Ovis aries: one gene and its partners. The protein of the gene in region 1 interacts with the protein of each later gene in a pairwise test. Links are inferred from orthologs where the notes say so. Each region holds a gene or a part of one and is shown in the gene's direction. Other genes may lie near its edges. The genes, in order: MID2, FARS2, DCX, SYT17, CCDC120, ENKD1 and TSGA10.

Evidence for each region.
Region 2: the proteins of MID2 (region 1) and FARS2 interact in binary tests that used the Homo sapiens proteins (3 or more experiments, as listed by UniProt). The two-hybrid records come from large-scale screens. The link is inferred for Ovis aries from reciprocal best matches to the Homo sapiens genes MID2 and FARS2.
Region 3: the proteins of MID2 (region 1) and DCX interact in binary tests that used the Homo sapiens proteins (3 or more experiments, as listed by UniProt). The two-hybrid records come from large-scale screens. The link is inferred for Ovis aries from reciprocal best matches to the Homo sapiens genes MID2 and DCX.
Region 4: the proteins of MID2 (region 1) and SYT17 interact in binary tests that used the Homo sapiens proteins (3 or more experiments, as listed by UniProt). The two-hybrid records come from large-scale screens. The link is inferred for Ovis aries from reciprocal best matches to the Homo sapiens genes MID2 and SYT17.
Region 5: the proteins of MID2 (region 1) and CCDC120 interact in binary tests that used the Homo sapiens proteins (3 or more experiments, as listed by UniProt). The link is inferred for Ovis aries from reciprocal best matches to the Homo sapiens genes MID2 and CCDC120.
Region 6: the proteins of MID2 (region 1) and ENKD1 interact in binary tests that used the Homo sapiens proteins (3 or more experiments, as listed by UniProt). The link is inferred for Ovis aries from reciprocal best matches to the Homo sapiens genes MID2 and ENKD1.
Region 7: the proteins of MID2 (region 1) and TSGA10 interact in binary tests that used the Homo sapiens proteins (3 or more experiments, as listed by UniProt). The two-hybrid records come from large-scale screens. The link is inferred for Ovis aries from reciprocal best matches to the Homo sapiens genes MID2 and TSGA10.

The regions. Positions count from the first base shown.
Region 1 is NC_056080.1:127,419,681-127,424,490, reverse strand, and holds the start of MID2 (probable E3 ubiquitin-protein ligase MID2), read left to right. Parts: upstream 1-1,692; 5' UTR 1,693-1,756; intron 1,757-1,821; exon of another isoform or gene 1,822-1,902; intron 1,903-2,253; exon of another isoform or gene 2,254-2,391; intron 2,392-4,810. UniProt on the Homo sapiens protein: E3 ubiquitin ligase that plays a role in microtubule stabilization. Mediates the 'Lys-48'-linked polyubiquitination of LRRK2 to drive its localization to microtubules and its proteasomal degradation in neurons.
Region 2 is NC_056073.1:48,259,492-48,262,864, reverse strand, and holds the end of FARS2 (phenylalanine--tRNA ligase, mitochondrial), read left to right. Parts: intron 1-772; coding exon 773-947; intron 948-2,306; coding exon 2,307-2,492; 3' UTR 2,493-2,595; downstream 2,596-3,373. UniProt on the Homo sapiens protein: Is responsible for the charging of tRNA(Phe) with phenylalanine in mitochondrial translation.
Region 3 is NC_056080.1:123,700,983-123,704,187, forward strand, and holds part of DCX (neuronal migration protein doublecortin), read left to right. Parts: intron 1-1,745; coding exon 1,746-1,972; 3' UTR 1,973-3,205. UniProt on the Homo sapiens protein: Microtubule-associated protein required for initial steps of neuronal dispersion and cortex lamination during cerebral cortex development. May act by competing with the putative neuronal protein kinase DCLK1 in binding to a target protein.
Region 4 is NC_056077.1:17,263,774-17,268,032, reverse strand, and holds part of SYT17 (synaptotagmin-17), read left to right. Parts: intron 1-1,235; coding exon 1,236-1,855; intron 1,856-4,259. UniProt on the Homo sapiens protein: Plays a role in dendrite formation by melanocytes.
Region 5 is NC_056080.1:56,040,299-56,043,443, reverse strand, and holds part of CCDC120 (coiled-coil domain-containing protein 120), read left to right. Parts: intron 1-4; coding exon 5-67; intron 68-345; coding exon 346-520; intron 521-656; coding exon 657-755; intron 756-1,940; coding exon 1,941-2,855; coding exon of another isoform or gene 2,856-2,877; exon of another isoform or gene 2,878-3,145. UniProt on the Homo sapiens protein: Centriolar protein required for centriole subdistal appendage assembly and microtubule anchoring in interphase cells. Together with CCDC68, cooperate with subdistal appendage components ODF2, NIN and CEP170 for hierarchical subdistal appendage assembly.
Region 6 is NC_056067.1:34,775,316-34,780,156, reverse strand, and holds the start of ENKD1 (enkurin domain-containing protein 1), read left to right. Parts: upstream 1-1,824; 5' UTR 1,825-1,884; exon of another isoform or gene 1,885-1,929; intron 1,930-2,110; 5' UTR 2,111-2,125; coding exon 2,126-2,210; intron 2,211-2,295; coding exon 2,296-2,496; intron 2,497-3,037; coding exon 3,038-3,210; intron 3,211-4,232; coding exon 4,233-4,358; intron 4,359-4,446; coding exon 4,447-4,610; intron 4,611-4,710; coding exon 4,711-4,841. Other genes in the region: C14H16orf86 (uncharacterized protein C16orf86 homolog), read right to left, coding at 1-391, 493-740, 1,080-1,306, 1,500-1,604. UniProt on the Homo sapiens protein: Microtubule-binding protein which regulates microtubule organization and stability. Promotes the stability of astral microtubules and facilitates the proper orientation of the mitotic spindle.
Region 7 is NC_056056.1:102,216,469-102,220,727, forward strand, and holds part of TSGA10 (testis-specific gene 10 protein), read left to right. Parts: intron 1-1,435; coding exon 1,436-1,606; intron 1,607-1,696; coding exon 1,697-1,774; intron 1,775-2,721; coding exon 2,722-2,873; intron 2,874-4,259. UniProt on the Homo sapiens protein: Plays a role in spermatogenesis. When overexpressed, prevents nuclear localization of HIF1A.

The DNA.
Region 1 (4,810 bases):
TATTCAGTACACATACCCTGAGTGTATATGCCACATTTGCTTTATCCATTCATCTCTCCATGGATATTTAGGTTGCTTTCACTTCTTGCTATGGTGAATAATACTGTAATAAACATGGGGGTGCAGATATCTCTCTGAGAGTCTGCTTTCAATTCTTTCAGATACATTTCAGAAGTGGAATTGCTGAATCACATGGTAGTTCTATTTTTAATTTCTTGAGGAACCTCCTCACTGTTTTCCATAGCAGTTGCACCACTTTACATTCCTACCAACTGCAAACAGTGTTCCAATTTCTCCACATCCTTACCAACACTTACTATTTTCTGTTTTATTTTAAATACTTGTCAGCCTAATGAGTGTGAGATAATATCTTATTGTGGTTTTGGTTTCCATTTCCCTGATGATTAGCGATGCTGAGCATCTTTTCATATGCTTATTGGCCATTTGTTTATCTTCTTTGGAGAAACGTCTATTTCAGTCCTTTGCCCATTTTTTAATCGTGATATTTACTTTGTTATTGGTTTGTAGGAGTTCTTTACCTATTAACCTCTTACCAGATACGTGGTTTGCAAATATTTTCTCTCTATTTTTGCCTTTTCACTGTTGATTCTTCTGCTGCACAGAAGTTTTTAAGTTCAATGTAGTCCCTCTTGTCTAGTTTAGCTTTATTTTTGCTTGTGTTTTTGGTGTGACTCATTAACTTTTACTTTTCTTAGGGCCAGACTTTCATCAGGATAGCTTGGTTGTGATTTTTGCCTTCCTTTCCACCTCAGTGCTCTCTTGAACATTGTTTAACAGGGGTGTTGGCTAATTACTATTGGTTCCCTGATGGGATACACCCAGAATTACCTTAATTTTTCTGGACTCATTCCCACCGAAGGTAATGAGAGAGCTATGGGAGAGGGGGTTCTTTCCTCCCATTTTCTCACTCCTTTCCCCTTCATCTTGCCTTTTTTTAAAAATCCCCTTCATTTCCCTATGTGAGGTACAGAATCTCCTCTGGGGCCTCCTCCTCCCTCCCTCTCCCACCCTCCTCGAGGAGTGGGTCGGTGGTCTCTGAGCCAATGACAGGTCCCACGGGCGGACTCCAGACCAATGAACGCTCCTGGGTTCCAGCTGGACCAATTAGCTTATTAGGGACATTGAATACCTGTATATAGCTAACATCCGTCCCATTGTCCTCTTATTAAAGACCCTCTGGTTTGGCCCATCACGGATTTGAATGTGTAAATGAGGCCCTACACTCCCCCCCTCCCCCACTTTTTTGATTTTGTTTTTTAATTTTGGTGGCTTTAATCCATCTCCACAACTTCTGCCCAAGGCCAATAAAACACAGCCATTCTCCCTTTGTAAAAAGAAAGAGGGGTTGGGTTTCCTTCAATTGTCTGCCCTTTTCTGTCTCCTCCACTATTTTTGTTTTACTCTGTAGTTAACTTTACATTGAGCAGCTTCGTCCGAGGACCTGTGCGCTGGACCTAGGCACTCTCTTCTCATTGCTGGTGGCAACGGCCCTTTCGTTGTTCTAACCTAGGGGTTTGTGGGGGCCAGGGGCTTGGCGGCTGGGAGAAGAGTTTGGCCAGAGTCTTCCTTCTGCATTTCACACACATTCTGCTGGCGCTCTCGCTCTCTTACACACACACACACACACACACACACACACACGCACACACGCACACACACACCCGCTCCGGCCCCTCTCCGTATGTCTTCCTTCAAGATGACAGGGCGCTGGAGAAAAGGCTGCTGGAATCAGCTGGTAGGTACAGTAGTAACCCGAACCCCACCCACCCGCTGCCTTTGCTCGCTCAGGTTTCTCCGGTCACTCCTGCCAGGGGAGAAAACATGTAAACGCGCCTCCAGAGGAGGGGCAGGGGGAGCTGGGAGCGGCGGGGGCGGCAGAAGGTGAGCCGGGGAAGGTGGCCGAGCGCCCCGGCTGCCGGGCCCTTCCCAGCGCTCCCTCGGGGCAGCAGCCCCAGCCCGCTTCGCCCCCACCCCATCCCCCTTTTCGTCGGGATTGCCTTCTCTACCCCCCCCCCGCCCCCCACGCCCTGCGACGGCGGAAATGACAGTGTGGTGCTGCCGCGGTGTCATGGTGCTGCCCCTGGACTGAGGAGCGAAAACTCTTAAGTTTGGCTCGGGAGACCCAGCCGCGGTAGCGTGGCGGCCGCCGAGCTGTCCCCAGCGGGGCGCGCGGGCGGGCGGATCCTGGCTGCTGCGCGGCGGCGGCGGCTGCGAAGGCGGGCGGCGGCCTAGAGCGGCGGCGGCAACGGCGGCAGCGGTGGCAGCCGGGGAGCTCGCGCCGGAGCCTGAGCCAGCTCGCGCGGGAGGCAGGCGAGCACCCGGCGCCCTCGGGCGCGCCGAGGACATGGCCGGCAGCCGGGAAGGCTCTGGGTAAAACGCGCCCCCTCGCCGCGGCCCCGGGGGCCGACCGCCACCACCCGCGCCGGGCTCGGCCCCGGGCTCGGGCCGCGCGTCTCAGGTGCGGCCGGGGCCCGGCGGGGGCCGAGGGCTGCTCCGGGGCTCGGCGGGGCGGGGTGACGGGGCCCCCGAGGCTCGAGGTGGCGGCGGCGGCGGAGGGCGCCCCGGCCCGGCCCTGGCTCCCCGATGCGCCGCTGGGGCCCGGGCACCCGTCGCTGCCCTCCAGGGACGGAGTTTGCACTCGGGGGTCCGGGGCGGGGGCGGGTCCTAGGCCTCCCGCGCAGTCCAGCCGGGTCGGGCGCGGGCCCCTCCCGGAGCGGCTCTCCGAGAGCCTGGGCGCTAGTCTGGGAAAGGGCACCGCCGCCTTCCCACGCTCCCGCGGCCGGCCACCTCCTTGGCCCGGGCGGCGCCCCTCGGCCGCCTGGCTGTGGTGGCTGCGGCAGCCAGAGATGCTGCGGACACCCTGCCCGCGGGGAGGCCGGGCGAAACTTAATCCCTTTGCTGCCACGGAATGATCCTGGAGTCTCTGTCTGGGTGGTTCCTTATTTTTGGCCTAGCTGTGAAACCAGCTCAGTGGGGGAGAGGGAAAACTTATAGGTCCCCCGGACAGACTGCGATAGAACCCGGGAAAGGTGGGGTTTTTCCATTCCTGGCTCGTAAGAATTAAGTAAATAAGCGGAGTAGATTGACAGAAACATTTTTGGTGATGATAAGGTTTCGGTTACTTAGCATAACGCGTGCAGCACATTTCTTGGAGGCGTTTCTTCTCAGAGCAGGACATTGGGATCCTGGGGTCGTTGTGTTCTTCACTTTTTCTCTTCCATACCCCCCTACCCGCCTTCACACTCACTCGCCTTCTTCCTACGTGGTAATCACACACCTACTTGCCCACGGTAATCTCCCAACCAGAACCACACGTCTCCTGGGTCCTGTGCACTCCCAGGCTCCCTGTCAAGCAGCCTCTGGCTTCTGAACCAGCTTTGCCATTTTGAGGATTTCTGAGTGTGGGGAGGGTGGATGGTTATGGTTGTTTGTGTCTGAAGTGTATTAGAGGCTATGTAAATAGACAAGTACAAGTGTGGGTTGATTCTTCTGATTCTTAAGGTGGGCCATAAGGGCTGCCTTTACCTCCATTCTGTCCCCTTCCAATACTCCAGTCAGTTCTCTGGCAATGTGCCAATGGAAGGGGACCCCTGAATAGGGAGAGTCCCTCCCCTACTTCTCATTTTACCCCAGCTGGTTACCCCTAATGCTCACATCCCCCTTTTCACTCCACTCATCACTGCCTTGAGAGGGAAAGAGTCTTTGCTACTTTAATATTTTCCTGCCCAATCAATTAATGCAGATATACAATGTGAATTAGATTTCCCCTGATGGTTCCACACAGCTTGATTTATGTGGTTGAAATACAAGTCTAGGAGCCAAGGAGATCAGAGAGTTCATTTCAAATCTGATGTTTCATTGGCTTTGTGGCTTTAGGACATTCCTGTGACCTTTCTTTCATAGTTGATGCACTTGTATGAAAGACATCATATTGTGTACTGGCTATTGTGAGTCTTGGCTTGGTCCTTTGAAGATGAAAGGATTCTATAAACCCTCAGCATTATACTTTTCAAAGAAAGTACTTCATTTACCTTTTATTGAGGTAATAGTTTGGGTGTAAGTAGGAACCCTGCTTTACTGGGAACCCAAACTTGCCATTATTAACCCTTTTGGGAGCCAAATCTATTACCCTACTGTGGTCCTAGGTCTGTTTCTTTTTTTTTTCCCTTAGTGCACATGCAACTGAATGAAAACGTACATAAAACAAGACATAAAGAGTAATGATGATTATTTTAAACTAAGGCTTGAATCATATCTAATGTACTCCAACCTAACAATCTGAATCAGATGCATTTGAAAACATAACCTCACTCATTTTTAGCCCATATAGGGGTGGGTAGTTACTTTCTACTGAAAAGTGGCTTAAATACTTTTAGGCATGGGTATCTAAGCAGGATTAGTATCTTGCAGTGGTGAATCAACCATGTTTCTTAAAAGCACCTGCAATGTGCAGAGTCCTCTGCTGACTGGGCTAAGGCCCCAGCTTTGGCCTTACATTTTGGCCTCCTGTTTGTTTAAGGCATACCTCTGCACTTGCAGTTCTCGGATTAGGACTGGGAGGGGCTGTGCAGGGCAGGGGTAAAGCCTAGAGACTTGAAGGAGCGAGTATTTCCCTCCCATTTACTTTCATGACTGCTAGACTCCTAATCTAGCATGTTGTACCTTGCAAGGCCATCCCTGGGAAGTACTGCTGCAAATCAGAATGGCTTGGTTGCTTTATGAACATATCATCTGAACAGTGCAAATTGATTTAGGTGAAATTAGTTTAGTTACTCCCTCCTCTAAGTGC
Region 2 (3,373 bases), on another chromosome or scaffold:
CTAACTGACCCTCCCCTAGAACCCTCCGTGTCTCAGAACCCTTGACCCAGGAGCCCCCAGCGGCCACGGGAGGCTGTCCAGCGGGGCCCAGCTGGGCTCCACCTCTGCACGGACGCGGCTGCTTGGGGACCTGGGCAGTTCAGGCCTTGCCCCCCCAGCCCCACTGCGAGGCCTGCCTGGGAGCCTCCTGTAGCTTGCACACAGCCTCTGTATCAGGTGCCCATGGCCTGGGGTCCCCCGAGGGCTCCACAAAGGCTTTGCTTCCGGGACCAGGAGGCACAGTGGAGACGAGGCTCCTACGGGCTGAGAGCTTGGGGCGCCCCATGTTGACCCTCCCTCCCATCTGCCATCACCTCGGGATGCTGACAGCATTGCCTCCATCACTGTTAGAGGTAGGGGTGGGAGGAGGGAGGGGAAGAACAGGGAGACCCAGAGGGCCGAACAAGGCTGGCCCGCCCCCACAAGGCCTGAACGCAGACAGCCGCCCCAGGGTCCGGTGATTGTACGGGAGTTCATTCAGCAGCTTTTATGCAGCACCTGCTGTATGCCAGACACTGCTCTGGGCACCAGAAGAGCAGAGTGTGCAGCCCGCCAGGAGTGCACCGCGTCAGCATGGGCCTACCTGCAGCCCACAGGGCGAGTCTTTGCTTCTGGTAGGACAGCTTTATTGAGACGTGATTCAGACATCATACACCCATTTAAAGTGTTCAGCTTAGTGGTTTTTATAATATTCATCACCATCTCACTCCAGACATCCCATTACCCTCAACAGACACCTGGACCCCCTTAGCAGTCACGCGGTCGCCCAGCTGCGCCCCCAGCCCGGGGCTTCAGGAATCTGCCTTCTGTCCATGTGGACTTGCTGTTCTGGACGTTTCGTTAGATGGAGTCGTATAAGGTGTGGCCTTTCGTGCCTGGAGCCTCTCAGTGGAGCACGGGGCGTTCAGGTTCGTCTGGCCTGTAGTACTAGAACGTCCTTTCTCTTCATGGCTGCGTAATTCTCCACACGGAGAGAGAGTGTTTGTCCACCCACCAGGTGAAGGGCTCTTGGGTCGTTTCCACTTTTGGGCTGGCGTGACTGCTGCTGCTCTGAACATTCGCATGCTGATTCGTGTGTGGACACACGCCTCCGCTTCTCTTGAGTGTATACCCAGGGAGGCGTCACTGGACCGGAGGGTGACGGTGCTTTTCAGCATTTGAAGGGCTGTCGGTGTGTGACCCTCAGGTTCCTCCAGCTCTTTGCCCAGCGGCCGCATGACTTGACGTCCGCACCAGCCAGGGGTGTGGAGAGGCCACCCAGAGGCCCTCAGTTCAAGGGTCTGGGCGGAAGGCACGTGGCACATGGTGCCGGGCTGACATCCCTGGGCCTTGCCCACTCGTCACTCCAGCTTCGTCACCTGCGGCGGGGACGGCAGGGCTGGCTCAGCTGGGGCTGAAGAGGAGGGATTTGGTGGCTTAGTTTCAGGAGAGAGACGGAGGTGTCCGTGGGGGGGAGCGCTGGAGGCCCAGGCTTGCCAGCTGGTGCCCACACCTCCCTGCTGAGGTGTTGGGCACCCAAGGGTCGGCAGCTGCTACGCTGCAGACGTGCTGTCACGATCCGCATTGCGACATTACCCAGCTGCGCCGTGGGGCCAGGCCCGCAGCCGCCTGGTGCAGGCGGGGATCGGTGACTTGTCTGCACAACACGGGGAGGGCACCACCATCTGTGTGCTGCCCGTGGCCTGCAGGTTCCTAACCCGCTCTGCTGGTCAGAGTCCCCCAGGGAGCCCCGGGCCCCCCAGCTCCGACTCAGTCTCCAGGAAAGCCTGCTGCTCCCTCCCTTGGCACACCTGCCCACACTCACACCTGCCTGCACTCATACACCTGCCCGCACTCACATCTGCTTGCACTCACACACCTGCCCACACTCACACACCTGTGCACACTCACACACACCTATCCACACACACACCTGCCCGCACTCGCACACTCACACACCTGCCCACACACACCTGTCTGCACTCACACACCTGCCCACACTCACACCTGACCGCAGTCACACACTCACACCTGCCCACACACACACCTGCCCACAGTCACCCACACCTGCCCACACACCTGTCCACACTCACACACCTGCCCACACTCACACCTGCCCACACTCACACACCTGCCCAAACTCACACACCTGCCCCCGCTCACACACTCACACACCTGCCTGTGCTCACTTACACACCTGCCCCCGCTCACACACCTGCCCATGCTCACACACCTGCCTGTGCTCACACACCAGCCCGCGCTCACTGCCTTTCTCTCCTGTCCTCTAGGACACACAGGACCAGCCACTGCTACCGCATCACCTACCGCCACATGGAGCGCACGCTGTCGCAGAAAGAGGTCGGGGGCATCCACCAGGCCGTGCAGGAGGCGGCCGTGCGGCAGCTGGGCGTCGAAGGCAGGTTTTGAGGGCCCCCTCCCCGGGCGTGGCGCTCCCGGGGCTCCAGGGTTGCTGAGTGAAGGAGAGAAGGATCCCATCTGTGGACTGAGGCATCAGTCATCCTGCGGTAAACGGGTCGGTTCCAGGACTCTCAGAAAATAAAGCGTTGCTCTCGAGAACCTGTGGACACTTGTCTTTCATTTGGGAGAAGCGGGGAGGCACGGGGAGGCGAGAGCGCCCTTCCGCTCCTTTCAGAGACGCTTCGCCTGTGGGCGCTCGGCTGCTTAGTCAGTCCCTGGAGTCCGCTAAAGTGTAAACACCAGACATGATTTCTTGCCTGACAGGCTCTTCCCGTCCCAGAATGAGTGAAGCCACACTGAGGGACGGACTGCAGACCCCGGAGACTTTCCTGCATCGGCTCCCAGCCCATCTCCCTCCTTCGGTTCCTCAAAGGGCAGGAGCGCAGGGTGCGGAGGAGACGCGGGGCTCCTTGGAGGCAGAGGGAATGGGCAGGATTTTATTTCCTTTTCACTGGAGCCCAGCCTCTGCCCCAGGGCCTGGGTGAAGTTGCCTCCTGTCCCCAGGGAGGAGATGGAGACTTGGCCGCAGGGCTGGGAGGCCCATGACCTGATGGGACCCGTCCTGGAAGCCCGGGAGCTTTTGTTCCCTGACCAGTGGCCTCTGCTTCCGAGATGACCTTTATGGGGGACTGCGGCGCTTTGGCATCTCCCCGTTTCCATGCCCGGCACTTCTGTAGTCTGCCTGCCCCACTCCTGACCACTTTTCCTAATCAGATTCCCTCCCCAGCATGATGCTGGAGGCTGATGGCGGACCACATGCGCTGGGATAAATATCTGATGAGCGCGCCTGTTCGCAGCTGTTGGTGGGGTGGGCAGGCGCTCTAGCGGGAGGCACGGCCCCAGTGTCATTTTGCCCTATTATCTGCGGGTCACTTCC
Region 3 (3,205 bases), about 3.7 Mb from region 1:
CTAGTTCCCTGATTTCCAAGCATCTCTGCTGGGCTCCAGTAACACCACTTGTCTGGCTCTGTCATAGCACTTATTCTCCAGTATTCTTATCTGCCTCCCCATTTGAAGTGACTTACTCATCTCTGAAACCCCAGTGTCTAATTCTTGGCTCAGTTTAGAGAAAGTACTCTGGAACTACTGGCCAATTTAATGAATGACTCCCAGGAAGCCCTGACAGGGAGAAAGGCCTCTCAGTGAGTGGGTTAAAGACAAGTGAATACACAGGTAAAACCAGATGGTGGATGCCTAAGTGCCCATTTTTCAGCTCACTTGCACTTGGATAAATTCAGCTACCACCACACTGATGTCTCTTTCATCTCTATAGTTGATGTGAAGGTTCCAGAACCTAGGGAAACATTACCAAAGTGGTGCAGAGGAAGTATATCTTCAGGAAATATTCATGATACATCAGTTTAAGCTTTACCTATGGGATCAACAGCAACACTCTCAGGCCATCTTCTTGCTCAATTTTTTCAATTTCCTACTCTCTCTCTTCCTCTACCCGCTCTCCCCTGTCTTCCCTTCCTCCTCTTTCTCGTCTCCTCCCCTCTCCCCACAGTGCCCTTGGGATATTTGCCTTTTTTAAAAAGCACATTTCAGAATATCTGAGGAACAATGTAGGTCCTTACATTTTAAAATAAATTAACTTAAGCATGAGATGTCTGAACATGAATTCCCTTTGAAAGCTGTTTAATTGTTCCACTTCAATGCACCACATTTCTTTTTACATGATTGGATCTTTTAAAAATCTGGTCAGCAAGGGAATATAAGACAATTTGCAACAACAATGGAATATAGAGATGTTAAATACTAAATCATTGCATTTTCAACATTTTACTGACTAGAGACAAATGGAGGTGCACCCTGACTCTGGCTATTAATGCCATCATCCTTTTTCTGTCTGTAAGCCTTTCTCCTGATTTCAAACTTCTTCCTTCTCTTTCCTAGCAACCTCTTGTCTCTCGTCTCCTTCACTCCTGATCTCTCTCTCTCATTCTCAATTCTCTCCTCTGCCCATTTTGCTGTATGCACCTCTCTTTATGTTTCACACTGTTTCTCCTCCATTTTCTTTTCCATTCTGCTTCCTAATTAGCTCTTTCTCTCTCCTTTTTTCCTTCTGGTCTTTGCACCCATAATGAGGTAGGGAAGAGAGAGTGGGGGGGGGGGGGGAAGATGAGCAGGAAAATAGAGAGGGGAAGAGATAGATAATAGGGCTGTCCTGCACCACATCATCTGCCACCAAAAGGGACATGCCCAAATCACCCAGATGCCTTCCCCTTTAAGGTGAGGCATATGACCTCTTCATGCCTTTTTAATGTCATTTATAAAATTGAAACAGAGTAACATGTTCCCGGACTACCTCCCAGAGATGCTGCTAGGGTCAGACTTGGGAATGAATATGAAAAAGGTTTGAAAAGAACCAGATCCCTGTAATTGGAAGTACTTGGGAGGAGGTGAGGCGGGGAGAAGGGGGGGGCGGGAGTTAGATTACTGCTTTGCACCACAAGGGGATCTAATTAACTGAGGATTGTAGTTCTTGCCTTTCTGAGGAATGTGTTTCTTTTCACCTTTGTTCTACTCATCAAATCACTTGGTCGTCTGTGTAGCGTGTTTGAATGTTCTTAGTGTCTTCAGAGGGGAAGGATAACATGTTCCTTTGTATGCTGTTGATTTTTCTCCCTTCCTTTTCTCTTGCCTTGGGCTAGCAAACGGAACCTCCAGCAGCCAGCTCTCTACCCCCAAGTCTAAGCAGTCTCCCATCTCTACGCCCACCAGTCCTGGCAGCCTCCGGAAGCACAAGGTATTATGTCTCTTATACCTTACTAAACTCCCTTTCACTTGGACTTTTTGGTCCATTAGCTTGAAGCCTCAGGAATCCCAGCAGGGGTCAAGCTTCCAATCATTGTGTTTATTCTTCTGGCCCCTGGCTTAATTCTATTTACCCAAAAGGAAGTGGTATGAAGGACCCAAATACCCCCATTCTGAGCTAATCGTGTCACCAAATGATGGCCCAAGGGATAAACTGAGCTTTGTCCCTCTGATTCAGAGGCACAGCAAACAGGATGGTGAGGGCAACTTAAGTTCCTAGGTCCGGTAAAGGTCATAAAGAAAGTTAGTCCTGAGTTACTCCCTTTAGATTCGTGGGACATTCAAATATGAACAGACCCTAATTTCACTGTGTATTCTTCGTGCTCAGGCCAATTCTGGTACACTGTGGGGAGAGAGGGCATATATTCATTGCACTGACCTTAGGTACCCTTTACACCTCTGAGTTAGCCCCAATAAATATACCATTAAAATAATAGATGTTGTAGAAATTCTCTACCTCCACTTTCCAAACTGATTTCCACCTAGAAATCTCTTCTGTATCAAAAATATGCAGTGGCCATTGCCTTCCACCTCACTTCAGGCCACATAGATGTGGTTTCTGCTGTGACTGTTGTTGTTTACTCCCGAAGTCATGTCCAACTCTTTTGCAACCCCATGGACCATAGCCCACCAGGCTCCTCTGTCCATGGAATTCTCCAGGCAAGAATGCTGGAGCAGGGTGCCATTCCCTTCTCCAGGGGATCTTCCCGACCCAGGGATCAGACCCTCATCTTCTTCATTGGCAGGTGACTCTTACTCCTGAGCCACCAGAAGCCCTCTGCTCTGATTACCACACCATAGAGTGGCTTCCTCTAGGATTCTCTTGTGTTCCCCTGGCTCACAAGACCTGGCATGAGATGGAGAAAGGCAAAAAAGCCACCAATGTGGCCAGTTCCATCACGGAACCATAGAGAGTCAGAGGTAGAAAAGATCTGAGACAGAGGTAAATTTGTTTAGTTTGATTCCTCAATGATCTTGTGGGATTGATATTTTACACATGAGGAAATTGAGACCCAGAATGGTGAAGTTACTTACTGGAGTGACATGGCTAGGCAGCAGTAGACATAAGGTCCTAACCAAGGTTATGACCCTTGGTGTACTGGAGCTGGTTTACACTAGCTCATGAGAGCTGACTGTGTACACTGCTTCCCAACTCTAGTAACTAGAGCTCAGCCATGATGGGAATATTTACACCATGGAATTCAGCAAATGCTATAAATCAGAGTTGTTGTTTTCTCACACAGAAAGCTGGTTGTTACCCATTTAACAGCACACCACTACCTGCCACCCATTTAAA
Region 4 (4,259 bases), on another chromosome or scaffold:
AGGAAGCTTTTGAAAGTGATGGATAGTTTATGGCATAGATTGTGGTGATGGATTCGTGGGTGCATACTTATCAAAGCCATCAAGTTGTGTAGATTGAATACCGACAACTTTGTGTGTGTCAGTCATACCTCAATTCAGTGCTTTGAAAGAGAAAAAAGTACCATGAGGTTATTGCTAGAATAGAGAGATGAGCAAAGAAGGCAACAATGAACCTGGGAGCGGTGAACTCTTCTGCTTAATGGGGAGGGGAGAGGCACCCCGAAAGTGACGAGCTGTGAATGTGAGCCTTGAAGGTGAATAACAGTTACCATTCAGTGCCTCTCAGCACATGCACGTTCTGTGCTGGGCTCTCTCCACGCATCGCTCAGTGAGTTTTCACCACCATCTTTGATGTGGCTGCTATGATTGGCTCCATGTTACAGATGGGAAAACCGAGTGTGTAAAATGTGCCTGGAGTCACTTGGCTCGTTACTAGAGAGTCACGTGGTTCACGAGGAAGTAGCTGGGTTGGAATTTGACCCAGACACTGGCCCCAGAGCCAACTCCGTGAAATCGGAGGCTGGGAATGGTTAGAGTCGGACCCTGGGGCCAGATAGGTGGGGCTTGGATCCTGGCTCCTCCTCCTACCAGTGGGGTGCCCTTTGGTGAGTTACTTAGAGTTTCTGTTTCCTCTTCTGTAAAGCGAAGGTCATCAGTTCAGTTCAGTTCAGTCGCTCAGTCGTGTCCGACTCTTTGCAACCCCATGAATCGAAGCACGCCAGGCCTCCCTGTCCATCACCATCTCCCGGAGCTCACTCAAACTCTCGTCCATCGAGTCGGTGAAGGTAATAGTCACTGGCTAATGCCTTGTGAGGGTTATGAATGTGAAAGTGTTAGTCGCTCAGTCGTGTCCGACTCTTTGCAAGCCCATGGACTGTAGCCCGCCAGGCTTCTCTGTCCATGGAATTCTCCAGGCAAGAATACTGGAGTGGGTAACCATTCCCTTCTCCATGTACGCAGGGCATTTAGAGCAGTGCCTGGCAATTAGCTGTCGTGGAGATGGGGATATTTGTGCCGCTGCCCTTCCTCTCATAGAGTAAATAAGAGGATTTCCAGGAGTGGAGAGCATATGGAAAGAGCATTATGAAGCAGAGCAAACAATGTGAGAATCTATGAAAGGTCCTTGATCTCACACATCGGCCCAGATCCAGTCCAGTACTTGGTGGTGTTAATTGTTATTTCTGCTGGGTGTGTAGGTCTCGAGTCCAGACGGCCCAGCTCTCCACTGATTGATATTAAGCCCATCGAGTTCGGCGTTCTCAGCGCCAAGAAAGAGCCCATCCAGCCCTCGGTGCTCAGACGGACCTATACGCCGGATGATTACTTCAGGAAGTTCGAGCCCCGCCTATACTCCCTCGATTCCAACAGTGACGACGTGGACTTCCTGACGGACGCGGAGATCCTGTCCAAGTACCAGCTGGGCATGCTGCACTTCAGCACGCAGTACGACCTGCTGCACAACCACCTGACGGTGCGCGTGATCGAGGCCCGGGACCTGCCGCCCCCCATCTCCCACGACGGCGCGCGCCAGGACATGGCGCACTCCAACCCCTACGTCAAGATCTGCCTCCTGCCGGACCAGAAGAACTCCAAGCAGACCGGAGTCAAACGCAAGACCCAGAAGCCCGTGTTCGAGGAGCGCTACACCTTCGAGATCCCCTTCCTGGAGGCTCAGAGGAGGACCCTGCTCCTGACGGTGCTGGACTTCGATAAGTTCTCACGCCACTGCGTCATCGGCAAGGTGGCTGTGCCTTTGTGCGAGGTCGACCTGGTGAAGGGTGGTCACTGGTGGAAGGCGCTGATTCCCAGTTCTCAGGTAAGGGGTGGGTTGGCAGTGTCTCCTGCTGGGAGCTTTGTAAAAAACGATTATTATTTTTTTAATCTCAGAATTTAAGTTTTGTTTGTTTGGGTTGGTTTTTTTTTTTTTTTGCATTTTTAAAACTTTTGATTTTGAAATAATTTTTTGACTCCCAAGAAGTTGCAAGAACAGTACAGGGAGTCCTGTGTGTTCTTCATCCACCTTCCTGGCTGGTAAATCTCATACGATCTGTGTACGCTAGGACACCAAGAAACTGCTATTTGGTAGCTAAACTAGACCTTATGCAATTTTCCCCAGTTTTTTTTAAAAATGTTTATTTACTTCTTTGGCTGCATTGGGTGTTGGTTGCGGCACACAAGATTGTGAATCTTTGTTGCATCATGTAGGACCTTTAGTTGTGGAGTGTGGGATCTAGTTCCCTGGCCAGGGTCAAACCCAAGTCCCTTGCATTGGGAGTGCAGAGTCCTAGCCCCTGGACTACCAGGGAAGTCCCTTCACCAGCATCTTCTGTGTGCGTGTGCATGTGTGTGTGTGTGTGTGTGTGTGTGTGTGTGATTCTATGAAATTATAACACATGTATGGATTCAGGTAACCAGCACTACCCTGGGAACTTTTTGTCATTGATGCTGGCTTATTTACTAAGAAGAATTATTGTCCAGAGTATGAAGCTATCTGTCATTTTGACTTTCAGGAATTGATCTGGGAAAAATAAGATGAGGGCTGAAGACCGGGATAATGGATGATTGCTTTTCAGGTGAATTGTAAGATTAGCTTCCTTCCCTCTTCCAGCGCGGTGACACACATTGGGCTGCCTGGGGAGCTACCCATGGACCAAACTCTCTCCCCAGTGGGCTTCAGGGTCCCTTTCTGGGGCATTTTATGGGCTGGAGGATAGCAGTGCACTCACTGTGGGTGGAAAGATGTGGGGGGAGTCCAGGGGAAAAGATCCTGTTGGAGGCTGGTCAAGACCATCCACGTCAGACATTGATCCTTGTAATGCAAATAGGATTACTTTGCATCGAATACACCAAGGTGCTTCTAAAGCTGAGCTCCGCGTCCAGGGATTTGATCATCCAGCATCACATTTGGGATGCACGTGTTAAACGAGGACTGGAGGGGCTGCTACATTGTATGTGTGTATATACACCATCTTCGAAACTATCACTCTCTTAGTTTGGATTCCCCAAGAAAAAGAAGACTCTCAGGCAAGGAAGTCATTTAATAGGGAGGTGACACCGGAGGAAATACCAAGAGCAGGTAGGAATGTCACTTAAAAGATGCAGATATCAGGCCTGCCACCACTGTGGTGACTGGAGCAGAAACCTGTTAGAGGAGCCAGGAGCCAGTGTCGGACATAGGTCTAAGAGCCTTTCCTCCCAAGAGGTGAGGGAGCTGGGGTGTTAATACACCACCTCCTGTCAGTCACTGAACGAGGGCTGGGGGGAGGGGAGGTTCATTTCCTGATATTTCTGGCTTGTGACACTGGTGGGTACAGAGCCCCTTGACATCCACAGATGCAAAATATGTACAAGAGCTGGCAGATTCATGTAGGCAGGAATGATCACGGTCAGGAGAAGGTAGTTAGTGTCTGCTGTAATCCTAAGTTTGCCTTCCCATCACACAAGCAGGATATATGGGATCATGTCGTGTATCCTCTTCGATATTTGAGATCGAGGTTTTCAACTGTCAAGTAAATTATGTGGACAGAGGGAGACCCACCAAACATGATAAATTCCAGATTCCACTCTTTGTGTCAGGGCAGAGCCCTGGAGGGGGAGGGCCTGGACATGCCCACAGGTTGGCTCCCCTAGGTCTTGGCTGAAGTGTTATCGTGGCTGAAATGGAAAGTTCCAGGTGCACCTGCCCTGGTATGGTTCCTGAAAGCTGGGGCCAGGGGCTGGGGGTAGGTGCAGGTCGTTAATTTAGGAGGTGATCCCAGGAAGCAAGAGGAAGGGTTGAGGAGGAGACAGAGAAGGAGGGATGTCAAAGCCAGGGGTGGTTCTGAAGGGCGCCATTCTGGCCCTGGGGTGGGCGTAGACTCCATCTTTGCCCAGTGGCCAGGTGGGCTCCCCAAACCTCACAGGAGGGCTGGGCAGAAAAGAGAAGGCGCCCAGGCGTGCTGCTCTCTGCCTGAACTGAGACTGGGCTGTGGAGCATCTGTCGCTTCACCCCTGCCCTGGGCACGCCCCATCCCCTTCTCCTCCTTTGCTTTTCTCCATGGCACTTACCATCCCATAGACTGGGCATTTTATGGTCTGTCTCCCCTGCTGGTATGTGAACCCCGCGAGGGCGGTAACTTTTGTCTGTTTTGTTCTCGTCTTTCTCCCCTGCTCCTGGAACAGTGATGAGCAGCTGATGGTGCTCAGCAATATTTACTGAATGAGTGGAGGATGGAAGGATC
Region 5 (3,145 bases), about 71 Mb from region 1:
GTAGAGGATGTGGTTCTGCACTCAGAGAGCAGCTCCCTCTCAGAGTCTGGGGCCAGCCACGATAATGGTGAGAACCCTTGTCCCCTAAATTCTCCCGTGCTCTGCATCGCCCCTGCCCTCCCTCTTCAGCCACACCCCATCCTCTGGTGGAGCTCCCACCTTCTTCACTTCACCACCCTCTCCCCTGTCTCTCCCATCAGCCCCAGTTCCTGCCTGCCTCCCTTGGTTCCTCCTCTACCTGTCCTACCCTGCTTAGCCCTCTGCACCTCCCTAGCCCCTGCCCTTGGCTTTGTCCACAACCCTCCCATTGAATCCCCCCTTCACCATTTTCTCCCTTCTGCTCAGAGGAGCCCCGTGGCTGCTTCCCTCTGGCTGAGCGCCCCTCACCGCCCAAGGCCTGGGACCAGCTGCGGGCAGTCTCTGGGGGCAGCCCTGAGCGGCGAACCCCATGGAAACCACCCCCATCAGATCTTTATGGGGATCTGAAGGGCCGGCGAAACTCTGTGGCCAGCCCCACCAGGTGAGGGTGAGCCCCTCCACTCCTTCCGCACAGCCAGGAGTGGGGGCTGAGCCTGGGTGGGCAGGAGGACCTGCTGGGAGGTACGGTCTCTAACCTGGCCCCCGCCCCCACCCTGGGCCCGCATGTCTCTGTCTAGCCCTACACGCTCACTGCCCAGGAGTGCCTCCAGTTTTGAGGGGCGAAGTGTGCCTGCTACTCCCGTCCTCACCCGGGGCGCTGGCCCCCAGCTCTGCAAGTAAGTGGACTCTAAGGGTGAGTTTGAGGACCAGAGGAGGGAACTGGTAGTTCTAACAGGGGGTACTGGGGAGAGTATTTGGATTCCAAGAGTGTAGGACATGAAAGACTGAGCTTTGAATCCATCAGTTTTATTCTGATTTTCTGTGTAAGTTGTATGAAGAAGCAAGAATTTTATTTATGCTTTAGAACTTTTGTTCATAATGCATCCTATTACATGATAAAGAAATATAGGTAAAATATATTTTGAAATATGCCATACATAATGTATGTGTAATATCACATTATAAATAAATTTTTTAATTGACCAAAAAAAGAAAAGAAAGGCTGAGCCTTGAAAGTTGAATAGGAGTTGTCTTGGTGCTATATGAGCACCCCCAGCCAACCCCCGCCTTGGAGAAAGAGGGTGGGGATTTGGGGCAGAAGCATTGAAGTTTGAGTATGGGCTTTTCTGTGCATTTTGGGCAAGTCATTTCCCTTCTCTGAATCTTGGTCTCCTCATTTGTAAAACAGGCATATCAATATCTGTCTCTGGAAGAGGCTGTAGGCATAAATGAGTTCTGGTTAACATGTGCTGCATACCTACCATCTGCTAGGAATCAGTACTTGGTATCAAACTCATTTAGTTATCACAACATCCCTATGAGGTAGATGCCGTTATTCTCATTTTAGAGATAAGAAACCCGAGACACAGGTTAACTAACTTGTTGGTAAACCAAAGACCTGGTATTTGAACCCAGACAAATTTGACTCAAGAGTCCATGCTTTTAACCATGGTAGTCTCCTAGTCCTTAAACAAATACGTACTTACCAAGTGCCTACTTTTTCCAGGCTGTGAACAAAAGTCCCCATCCTTGTGACGCTTGCATTCTATGAATAGTGACCTCCCCTGCTAGCATTTCCTCTGGAGTCCCTTGCTTCCATCTCCCTCGGAGCTTAACAGCCCCAGGCACCCCATACATTTTCAACCCCTCTGCTCCCCAGTCCTGGCTAGGGCCTCTGCTGCTCTTAATGTGCCACTCCCTAACGCCTTTACACCCCATTTCTAGTCCGGGGCCCATTTTGGAGTGTGAAAATGAAGGCCCAGAGAGAGGCGTGTGTTGGGGGAGGGGTTGCGGAGCGAGCTTATCCCATCTGCCTGATATTTCTGACCCTTCTCCCATCACCCCCACCTCTGTGCCCCTAGACCCGAAGGCCTCCATTCTCGCCAGTGGTCCAGCAGCCAGGACTCCCAGATGGGCTTCCCGCGGGTGGACCCTGTCTCCGACCGCACCTCCCTCTTCGCAGCTCGCACCCGCCGCAGCAATAGCTCCGAGGCCCTGTTGGTGGACCGGGCAGCGGGTGGGGGAGCTGGGTCCCCGCCCGCACCTCTGGTTCCCCCTGCCACCGGTCCCCCAGTCTGCAAGAGCAGTGAGGTGCTATATGAGCGCCCCCAGCCAACCCCTGCCTTTTCCTCCCGCACGGCTGGCCTCCCAGACCCTCCCCGGGCTGCCCGGCCCAGCTCAGCCGCGCCGGCCTCCCGCGGGCCCCCCCGGCTCCCACCCGTGTGTGGGGACTTCCTCTTGGACTATTCCCTGGACCGGGGCCTGCCCCGTGGGGGCAGCGGGACAGGCTGGGGGGAGCTGTTGCCGGCAGCTGAGGTTCCAGGACCCCTCTCCCGCCGCGATGGGCTCGTCGCCATGCTCCCAGGCCCACCGCCTGTGTATGCAGCTGATGGCAGCAGCCCCCTCCTCCGCAGCAAGGACCCCCATAGCCGTGCCCCCCGCACCAAGCCCTGTGGTCTGCCCCTGGAGGCCGCTGAGGGCCTGGAGGCGCATCCCAACCCTCTACTGTGGATGCCCCCACCCGCCCGTATCCCCTCGGCCGGTGAGCGCAGCGGCCACAAGAACCTTGCCCTGGAGGGGCTGCGGGACTGGTACATCCGGAACTCGGGACTGGCCTCGGGGCCCCAGCGCCGGCCTGGGCTCCCTCACATGGGCCCGCAGCACCCGCCCTTCCTTCATGCCCGCTGCTATGAGGTGGGCCAGGCACTGTACGGGGCCCCCAGCCAGGCGCCGCTCCCACACTCGAGGAGTTTCACGGCGCCCCCTGTCTCCGGCAGGTATGGGGGGTGTTTTTACTGATGGGTAGGGGTCTCTTGAGGCAGATGGCAAAGGTGTCCAGGCCAAGGAGCAGCTAGTCATGGTAGCTAATGACAGGGACCACGAAAGAAGTAGCTGCAGCCTTGGCCTGTGGTCCCTGGGCTCTGCCTGACCCGCATTAATTCGTGGGGCCTCGGCAGAGGGGTATCTTGGGCCCCGGTAGCAGCAGTTCTTCACCGAACTATTCAAGAGTTGTAATAGTTGAACAGCCAGTGCATGTCAGCTAAAAATGAGCCTTGAAACTAGGGTG
Region 6 (4,841 bases), on another chromosome or scaffold:
AGTGGGGGGACAAGCGGGGCATTGCAGACACTTAGCATCTTGTTGATGTCCACCTGAGTTGACTTGTCCATCTCAGCCTTGAGGCAACCGCTTACCCCCAAGCTGGGCAGACCCCCAGGCTCCTCACTGGCTTCCTCCCCCAGGGGAACCAGAGTGTGGGTCGGGGGCACAAACATACTGGGGCAGGGCAGAGTGAGGTCGGAGCCCAGCTCACCTGCCACTGGCAGCAATGCCTGCAGTTGCTCCACACCCGCCTCCTCGGGGACCACTGTCAGCTCTGACTCAGGCTCCACCTCAGCCTCAGCCTCCCTGTCCCCCTCCCCTGCCTGGTTCAGTTCAGGGTTGCAATAGTTGATGTACTGGTACAGGGGCCGCAGGCGCTGGGCCTTTCCTACAAGAACCCAGGGCAGGGCAATGACTGGAGTGCCAAGCTGGGCTGTGTTGGGTCCAGCTGGCTGGGACAAAAGGGAAGGCTCAGGAAATGCCACTCACGCTCAGGCCCCAAGGTCACTGAGGGTGCCGACACCGTGCTGGCCACCACTGGGAGCACTGGGGTTCCCAGACTCTTGCGCTTCTTGGTCTTTTTGTGCTGTTTGGCAGATGGTGAGGGCTCATTCTGATTATTCTCCGGCTCTTCCCTCTGCAGCGACAGCCCCTGTGGCAACTCACTCTCTGCCCTAGGATGGGCTTGGTGGCTCGGGCCTGTGAGGCTGGGGAACAAGGAGGCCTGAGGAGCCAGCCTGCAGCCTTGGCTCCTGTGCCCTGTCCTAGGGAACAGTCCTGCCTGCCTACCTCCCCAGGCCGTGATCCTTGTCCTTTTCCTGGTCAGTGAGGCCCTGGACTGGACAGGGACCCAGAGATCATGGGAGTTCAGTCCCCTACCAGGCCTTGAGACTTTTGCTCTGCATGTTCCCTACATCAGGGCTCTGGAGGGTCAGCAGAGGTGAGGAATGATGGTGGTGTCAGGGGATAAGGATGGACACTACTGTAAGGCCCCATTTAAGAATCCAACTGGGGTATGAGCCACCCCCACACCACCTCCCCAGTTCCCAGTCTCTTCCCTCTGAAAGCCCCCTCACTTGACCGGCTTCCTCTTCGGACCATGACTGGGCCTCACAGTGGAGGCCGTAGGCCTGGGACCTCTCTCCTCCAGGGCCTCCACCTCTGGTTTGTGCCTGTCTTCCTCCAGCTTGAGTCTCTCCTGGATCTTTGGCTCTGAGGTGGATCTTATTGGACATTTATCTTCATCCTGGGTTTGGCAGGCCTCATGGGCTGGCACCAGGCCCTGGTCTCCCATCACTGGACACTAGCGGTGACACACAGGTAACTGGTCACCATGGCCAGGTAAAGGATACAGGGACCAGCCATTAGACTCTAAATACTCTGGATGAAGGGCACCAGCCCATGCCCCTCCCAGCCTGTGGAACCTGGCCTGGCAGTTTTGGTCTATTAAAGCGCTATGACCCAAGTGTTTGAAGGTTAGACAGCCCGATGGTCACCTCAGAATTCTGAGCATGGCCACCAGGCATCTCTGTAAGCTGTGACTGCCCCACGGCTGCCCCTTCTTGGGCCCCTGGCCGCTTCTCAGCCCCTGCGGAGTCCATAGCTGCGGCGGATCAGCACTTCCTCGACGGTTGCTTGAGGGGCATTGGGGATGGAGGGCGGATCCTGAGGGGCCAGACTAGTAGACCCTGAGCGGACCCGGGAGAGGACCGGATTGGGAAGGGCAACTGACAGTCGTTCTGCTCCCCCCTCAGCTGGAACTACAGGCCCCAGAAGGCTTTGCGCCAAGGCCATTGGCCCCTGACCTCACGGACGGAAACCATTGTTGCCTGGCAACAGCAAACCCGTCGGGTGGCGGCAGTGGGCGGCAAAACCGCTCTGGTGAGCCCCTTGCCCGAGTGAGAAGCCTGCCAACGGTACTGAGAGGTGGGCTGAGAGCAGAGGTGGCGAGCGCAGGCCGGGGCCGGGAGGCGGGGTGGGGGCCGGGAACGCAGGCAGGGCACGGCTGAGGTTAGGACCCGGGGCCAGGGAGGAGGCACTGGGCTGAGAAGCCGGGTTTGGAGCCAGAGACGCGTAGCCCGGCAGGCCTCAGGTGCAACGTTTGCAGGACGGCGGCGGCGGTATGTGTGAGGGTCCGTCCCGCATCTCGGGGCCCATCCCCCCAGACCCTACGCTCTGTCCGGACTACTACCGGAGGCCGTCTTCGGGTGAGTTAGGGAGTGAAAGCGGCCTGGCAAGGGTCGGGCCCAGCTCCACCACTGACTCCGCACTCTGCCCCGTCTGGCCTCTCAGCCCAAGGGCGCCTTGAGGGAAACGCGCCGAAGTTGGACCTGCTGACGACGGATACGGACCCGGACCTAGACGCCACCCCTCCCCGCGCCCCTCGCATCCGTCCGGGAGGCCTAGAAATCCTGGAGCGTGGCCGTCGCGGCGTGGGTGGTGTGCTGCTGCAGCTCGGGGGTATCTCCCTAGGCCCAGGGGCCTCTCCCAAGAGTAAGTTCTGGTCAGAACGGACAGCGAGGCGGCTCTGAAGTCAAAACAGATAAAAAGACGGCTGCTTCCCCTTCCCTGCTCTGGGCTCAGGCTTTACCTCTCAGAGTGTCTGTTTCCCCAACTGTAGAAGGAGCGGGAAATGCACGACTTCTTCGCAGGAGAGGACTAAATGAGGCATACCCCGGAAAAGCCCGTAGCTCAGCTTCATGGATTTATGCATGGTTGGTTGTTGAGTGTCTGCTGTGCTCCAGGCCCTATGGGTGCTAGGAGAACAAGGTCGAAGAAGCGCATCATTGAATCAAGGTGGGAGACAGTAAAACAAGTGAAGAGGTGAATAGGATATGCAAGGTGATTACTAGTATACTTCATAATCAAATATGTATAAAATCATCAGAAACAGAAGATAATTATGGTGTGAGGACGAGAACAAGGTTATGTGGTGGACTTTAGAGTATGTCAGGGAGGCAGGGTGTGGGCTTGTGTGTCCACTGGGGTAAGTTGGATTGTATGGGCTGTATGTAGGGCAACATCTTTTCTCCAGGGAAGGACCCTAAAGACCATGAGAAGGAGAACATGAGGCGGATCAGGGAAATCCAGAGGCGCTTCCGTGAGCAGGAGCACAGCCAGGAGCAGGCCCAATCCAGGCCCCTGAAGGCCCTGTGGCGCTCACCCAAGTATGACAAAGTGGAGTCGCGTGTCAAGGCTCAGCTGCAGGTACCTGCCTCAGGGAGCCCCAAGTGTTGCCCGTCTTGTTGGCCAACAGGACATTATACTCTGACTTGAGTTATGAGGAGGGAGGAAACCCACAGTGGGCTGAGGTCACAGGGGATGAAGAGCTGGTCCTGCTGCAGAGTGGGGCTGTGGCCTTTCTCTGAAGTGATGACAGCTGGGTGATTCTGAGGGGCAAGTCGGAATTAGGCAAGGGGAGAATAGAGGAGAACATTTTATAGAAATGGAACCTTGTGGTTCCAGGGTCCCTGGTCCTAACACCAGGGACTTAGGAGTGTGGGCAGTGGGGATGCTGTGTTCAGTTCACTATGAGGGAGGAAGAACATGAGGTTAGGCTAAGAAGTCAGCTGGACCCACATCATAAAGGGCCACATAAATCCATTTTTTTAAACCTTTATTTCTAAGGACAATGGGAAGGGCAGGGGTATGTATGGTGGTAAGATTCTATCTGGGGTAGCTAGTGGTGCCACTTCTCTTTCCAGGGGTCTGAGAAGGAGAAGTAGGACAGAAAAAAAGACAAGGTCATATGTGGGTGTGTTGAAGCTGAAGCTTTTGTGGGGCTTCCAGGGAGTGGGAATGTGTCCAAGAGGCAGATGGAGAATCAGGTCTGGATCTCAGAAGTGAGACCCAGGAGCTATTGAGGACGAGGCTGAGGATAGTGAAACCAGGGAAGTGACCCTGGATTTGGGGGCTTGGAGACCAGCTGTTGGTGGCCTTGGTAGGGACAGAGCCAGAAAGCTTGACTAGGAAGGAGAGAAAAAGAGAACGATGACTGAAGCCAGGACTGAGGTAGAGGGAGGGAAATATGTTTTCTGAGAGATGTGAAAAACACACAGGTTTAAATGCTGATGTGATGGAAGTACTTATTCAAGAGGAAGGAGGCCAGGTCCAGAGGACTGGTGATAGAGAAAGATCCTGAAAGACAGGAGGGACAGAGGCATGGTCTTACAGCTTGAGACCCTGACTTCAGCCTGACTGACCACCCCCCGCTCTGCCTTGGCCTCCAGGAGCCCGGCCCTGCCTCTAGAACTGAGCCAGCCCACTTTCTGCGGGCCCATTCCCGTTGCGGCCCCGGGCTCCCACCACCCCGTGTCCCCAGTCCCCAGCTAACCCTACCAGGTCCCAATGCTAAGGTGAGAGGATATGTGGGGGCTGGGAGGTGGGGCAGGGATTCCGGGGCACCACACAGTGCTGTTTCATCATGCTGGCCATGTCCCGCAGGCCCCAGGTCTGGGTGTGGACTTCATTATGCACAATGCCCGCACTGCCAAGAGGGCCCCCCGGCGGCATTCTCGCTCGCTGCAAGTCCTGGCACAGGTGCTGGAGCAGCAACGGCAAGCCCAGGAGCACTACAACGCCACGCAGAAGGGTCACGTGCCCCATTAGTAGGTCCTACTGCTCCCCCCACTCCTGGGAAGGGGCACTTATGGAGGGTGGAAGCCCACGTCTGCCTAGGGTCATCAGCCCTGGGTCTGTGCATCACAGCTTGTTGGAGCGCAGGGACCTGTGGCGGCGGGAGGCTGAGGCCCGTCAGCACAGCCAACCAGACCCAGCCATGCCCCCTGGCCACACTCGCATGCCTGAGAACCAGCGGCTGGAGACACTGAGCAGTCTGC
Region 7 (4,259 bases), on another chromosome or scaffold:
TTCTGTGAAGGCCCAGGTAAAAAGCAGCCTGGGCCTTGCAGGCTATGTGACCTCTGACACAGCTATTCAGCTCTGTTGTTGTAGTGCCACAGCCCCAGTAGATACAAACAAGAGAACGAGTTTGTTCCTGTTATTCAGTCGCTCAGTTGTGTCTAACTTTTTGCAGCCCCATGGACTGCAGCATGCCAGGCTCCCCTGTGCTTCACTATCTCCCTGAGTCTGTTCAAACTCATGTCCGTTGAATCAGTGATGCCGTTCAACCATCTCATCTTATGTTGTCCCCTTCTCCTCCTGCCTTCAATCTTTCCCAGGATCAGGGACTTTCCCAGTGAGTAGGCTCTTTGCATCAGGGGGCCAAAGTATTGGAGCTTCAGCTGCAGCATCAGTCCTTCCAATGAGTATTCAGGGTTGATTTCCTTTAGGATTTGGCTGTGTTACAGTATAATTGATTTATAGAGACACAAGTACTTGAAATTCCATAGAGTGGTGGGTGTGGGAGCCAGGTTAGACTGGAGTTAGAGAATGGATGATAAGGAACAGGCAGGGTGTACAAACCATGACACTTAAAAAAAAACTGTCAAAGGAAAAAGAGACAGATGATGATAAACGGGACAGTAGGATTAAGTGACAGTTTTTCAAGATAAGGGAGCCATGTGCATGGTTGAAGAAGTAGAGGAAGAGCCAGTGGAGAGGGTGGTATTTAAAGTGAGACAAGTAATTAAAATTGAGTTAGGGGTATCTTAAAAGACACTTCAGAAAGTGAGGTCCAGGAGTCTGGTCAAGGCTTACCTATGGAAATTGGGAAGTAATATTTCTTCTTCTGAGACTTAGATACTAGCTGAATAGATAGTGAGCAAAATCGAGAGAAAGGATGATAAGGGAAGGAAGTAGCAAAGCAGGGTATGAAATCACCTGCAGATGTGGAATAGACTTGGAACCCAAGGATAGTTGTTGAACAAGTGTGTGAAGCATAGGTTGGGTTATCAGTAAGGATCAGTAGGCCTTTCTGTTGGGGTGAAAGTAGTCAAGACATGGAAATGGCACATACATTTTTGTAGAGAAATACTGGAACACTATGATAATATTTATTAAGCCAGTATTCTGCCTAAATTGTACTGATTTCAAATTTATCAGAAAATGGATGATATATATCATAGATACCTCTTAGTGAAACACTCTCTGTTGCATTAACTGCCTCCAAATTAATTTGTTTTAATTTTTGGCAAAGATAGTATAAACCAAACTTGTGTTTGTAGATATTCATTTACATTTGGGGCATCATTTGCATTTATTTGTGTAAGTTCATTAACGAATTATATCATTATCCTGCTGCAAGCACATTAATTAATATAGGCTTGCATTTTATCTGGCTGGATAGAAGATAGCTGTCCTAAAGCTTGTTAAACAGAAGTCTACGTATGTATTTAAACAATAGGCACAGGAAGAAATTGCCCGACTTCGACGAGAAATGATGAAAAGCTGTAAGTCTCCTAAATCAACAACAGCACATGCTATCCTCCGGCGGGTGGAGACTGAGAGAGATGTGGCCTTCACTGACTTGCGAAGAATGACTACAGAGCGAGATAGTCTGAGGGAGAGGCTAAAGGTTTGAAAGAATTTTATCTCTATGAGGATCTGTGAAATGCAAAACAGCAACATTAAGAGCACCTTTGTTTTCTTTTTGTTTTTTAAACAGATTGCCCAAGAGACAGCGTTTAATGAGAAGGCTCACTTGGAACAAAGGATAGAGGAGCTGGAGTGTACAGTTCATAACGTAAAGAAAAGTCACTTTTGCACTTTGGGCTATAAACTGTCAGTGGCTCCCCACTTTCCCCTTTTTCTGTGTTCGGAAAAGTTGGTTTTCTCAGATAGCATTTGCAGTCCTAAAGATGTTTAAGGTGGTGTATATACTGTAAATTATCACTTTTTCATTATTTATTTTCTTCTGAAAAATGTGAGTAAAGTCTTTTCTGTGTTAGGTTGTGTATGCTTTTTGTGTATGTTCTTTAAAGAAAAAGCATTAGGGATGCATTCTCAGTGATTTTAACACTTACTCATCTCCCTGTTTCATTAATGATAGCATTGCCAGGGACAGAGAAACTGGCTTATTCTTCCTAAAGAGTAGCTAAGATAGAGAAAATTATAACAGAATGAAAACCAATGAGAAAAATATATTTAAGCTAAATTTAATTGTGAAGCATCACCTTGTTACTAGTTAAGGCTTTGAGATGCTGTCCATATATATTGGCGATATTCTGACTATATAAACAGAATTAAGGGAATTCAGCTTTCCGTTACCAACTTCAATTGACTATATTTCTAAATTCATCTGTTTTATGTTATAATGAGTTTTTTTTTTAAAGAAATTGACAGGAGTAGACAGAAAAAAACAGAGTTTTTTTCATAATCCCAGTTTGTATGTATAACTTGTTCATATTGAGCAACAAATAAGAAAGCTTCTTGCAAACAGGCTATGTGTGCTGTAGTCCAGCTGAACCAGATTGAAAATGTGCATCTGCTGTGACAGGCTTCATGGACAAGCTGTGTGGCAGCGTGCCCAAGTTCCTGTTCTACAGCACCTTGTCCATGCAGCCTCCCACAGGTTTCAAGGCTAACCTGATCATCTCATATACCAGTTTCTACAAAGACAGAATGTCTCTCCTGAAAGATTACTGAGATGTTTTTAGTGATGGCAGTAACCTTGTCATTCTGCTTATATAGCTTGATGATGAACGTATGGAACAAATGTCAAATATGACTTTGATGAAGGAAACAATAACCACTGTGGAAAAAGAAATGAAATCACTAGCAAGAAAGGCGATGGATACTGAAAGTGAACTTGGCAGACAAAAAGCAGAGAATAATTCTTTGAGGTAAAGTCAATTACCATTAAACCAATGGTTTACTATAAATAGTAGCTCTGCTTTTTGAAGGATATTTTAGGGTGATAATTGAGTTATTTGTTGACTTTAATTTTTGGAAGGATTATTATGAAACAGTAGTGGACACCTCAGCACACATTAAATGATTTCCTAAAGGTCAGTCACAGACTGACAGACTGGGAATGCCGCATCTATAGGAGTCAAACTTCTAGTAATTTTCATCTCGTATTTGCAGAAAGCTTCACTATTGAGCTGAAATAGCTTTTACGAAGCCCTTCTGGGTAACGAACATGTTTGACCTTGGCCTTTCACTGTTTATAATTTACCTTATAACTTAAATTATGTCCTGGGATCCGAACAGTGTAAGAAAACACAAAGCACAGGTTTGACAATGGCTTAGAAAGGGGTGGTTTGACATACAGTAAAAGCCATAGCAAAGAAAGAAGAACATGTAACAGAACTTCTGTTAACTGGATGCCACGTGCTGTGTTTAGCTGTTCCTGCATACTGCCCTGTAGCAGGAAAATCCCAGTTAAAGCAACCCACACGCAGTGGTGTAGGGGAACAAGTTTCTGAAGACTTCCATATTAGCAGTTTCACTTGCACTGTCTATTGACGTGAGAAACAGAAATTCTACACATTCACTCAGGTTGAATTTCAGTGTATCTATGAACATATGAAAAATAATAGTTCATGAGAGTGTGAAATACATTATTTAGTCTACAGATAATACTTGGTTCATATACAAATTCCCAAAGTCGCCTCTTTGGTCTTTCAAGGGTCTGTGGTATGTACTGATGCATTGGAATCACTTGTCAGGACAGAGAATTACTCAAATTCTTTCCCTTCATTTATTTATTTATTTTTAATTAATTTATTTGTTTTAATTGGAGGCTAATTACTTTACAATATTGTAGTAGTTTTGCCATAAATTGACATGAATTAGCCATGGGTATACATGTGTTCCCCATCCTGCCTCCCACCTCCCTCCCTATCCCATCCCTCAGGGTCATCCCAGTGCACCGGCCCTGAGCGCCCTGTCTCATGCATGGAACCTGGCCTGGTGATCTGTTTCATGTATGGTAATATACATGTTTCAATGCTATTCTCTCAAATCATCTCTCCCTTGCCTTCTCCCACAGAGTCCAAAAGTCTGTTCATTACATCAGTGTCTCTTTTTCTGTCTTGCATACAGGGTCATCATTACCATCTTTCTAAATTTCATATGTATGCATTAATATACTGTATTGGTGTTTTTCTTTCTGACTTACTTCACTCTGTATAATAGGCTCCAGTTTCATCCACTTTATTAGAACTGATTAAAATGCATTCTTTTTAATAGCTGAGTAATGCTCCATTGTGTGTATGTACCACAGC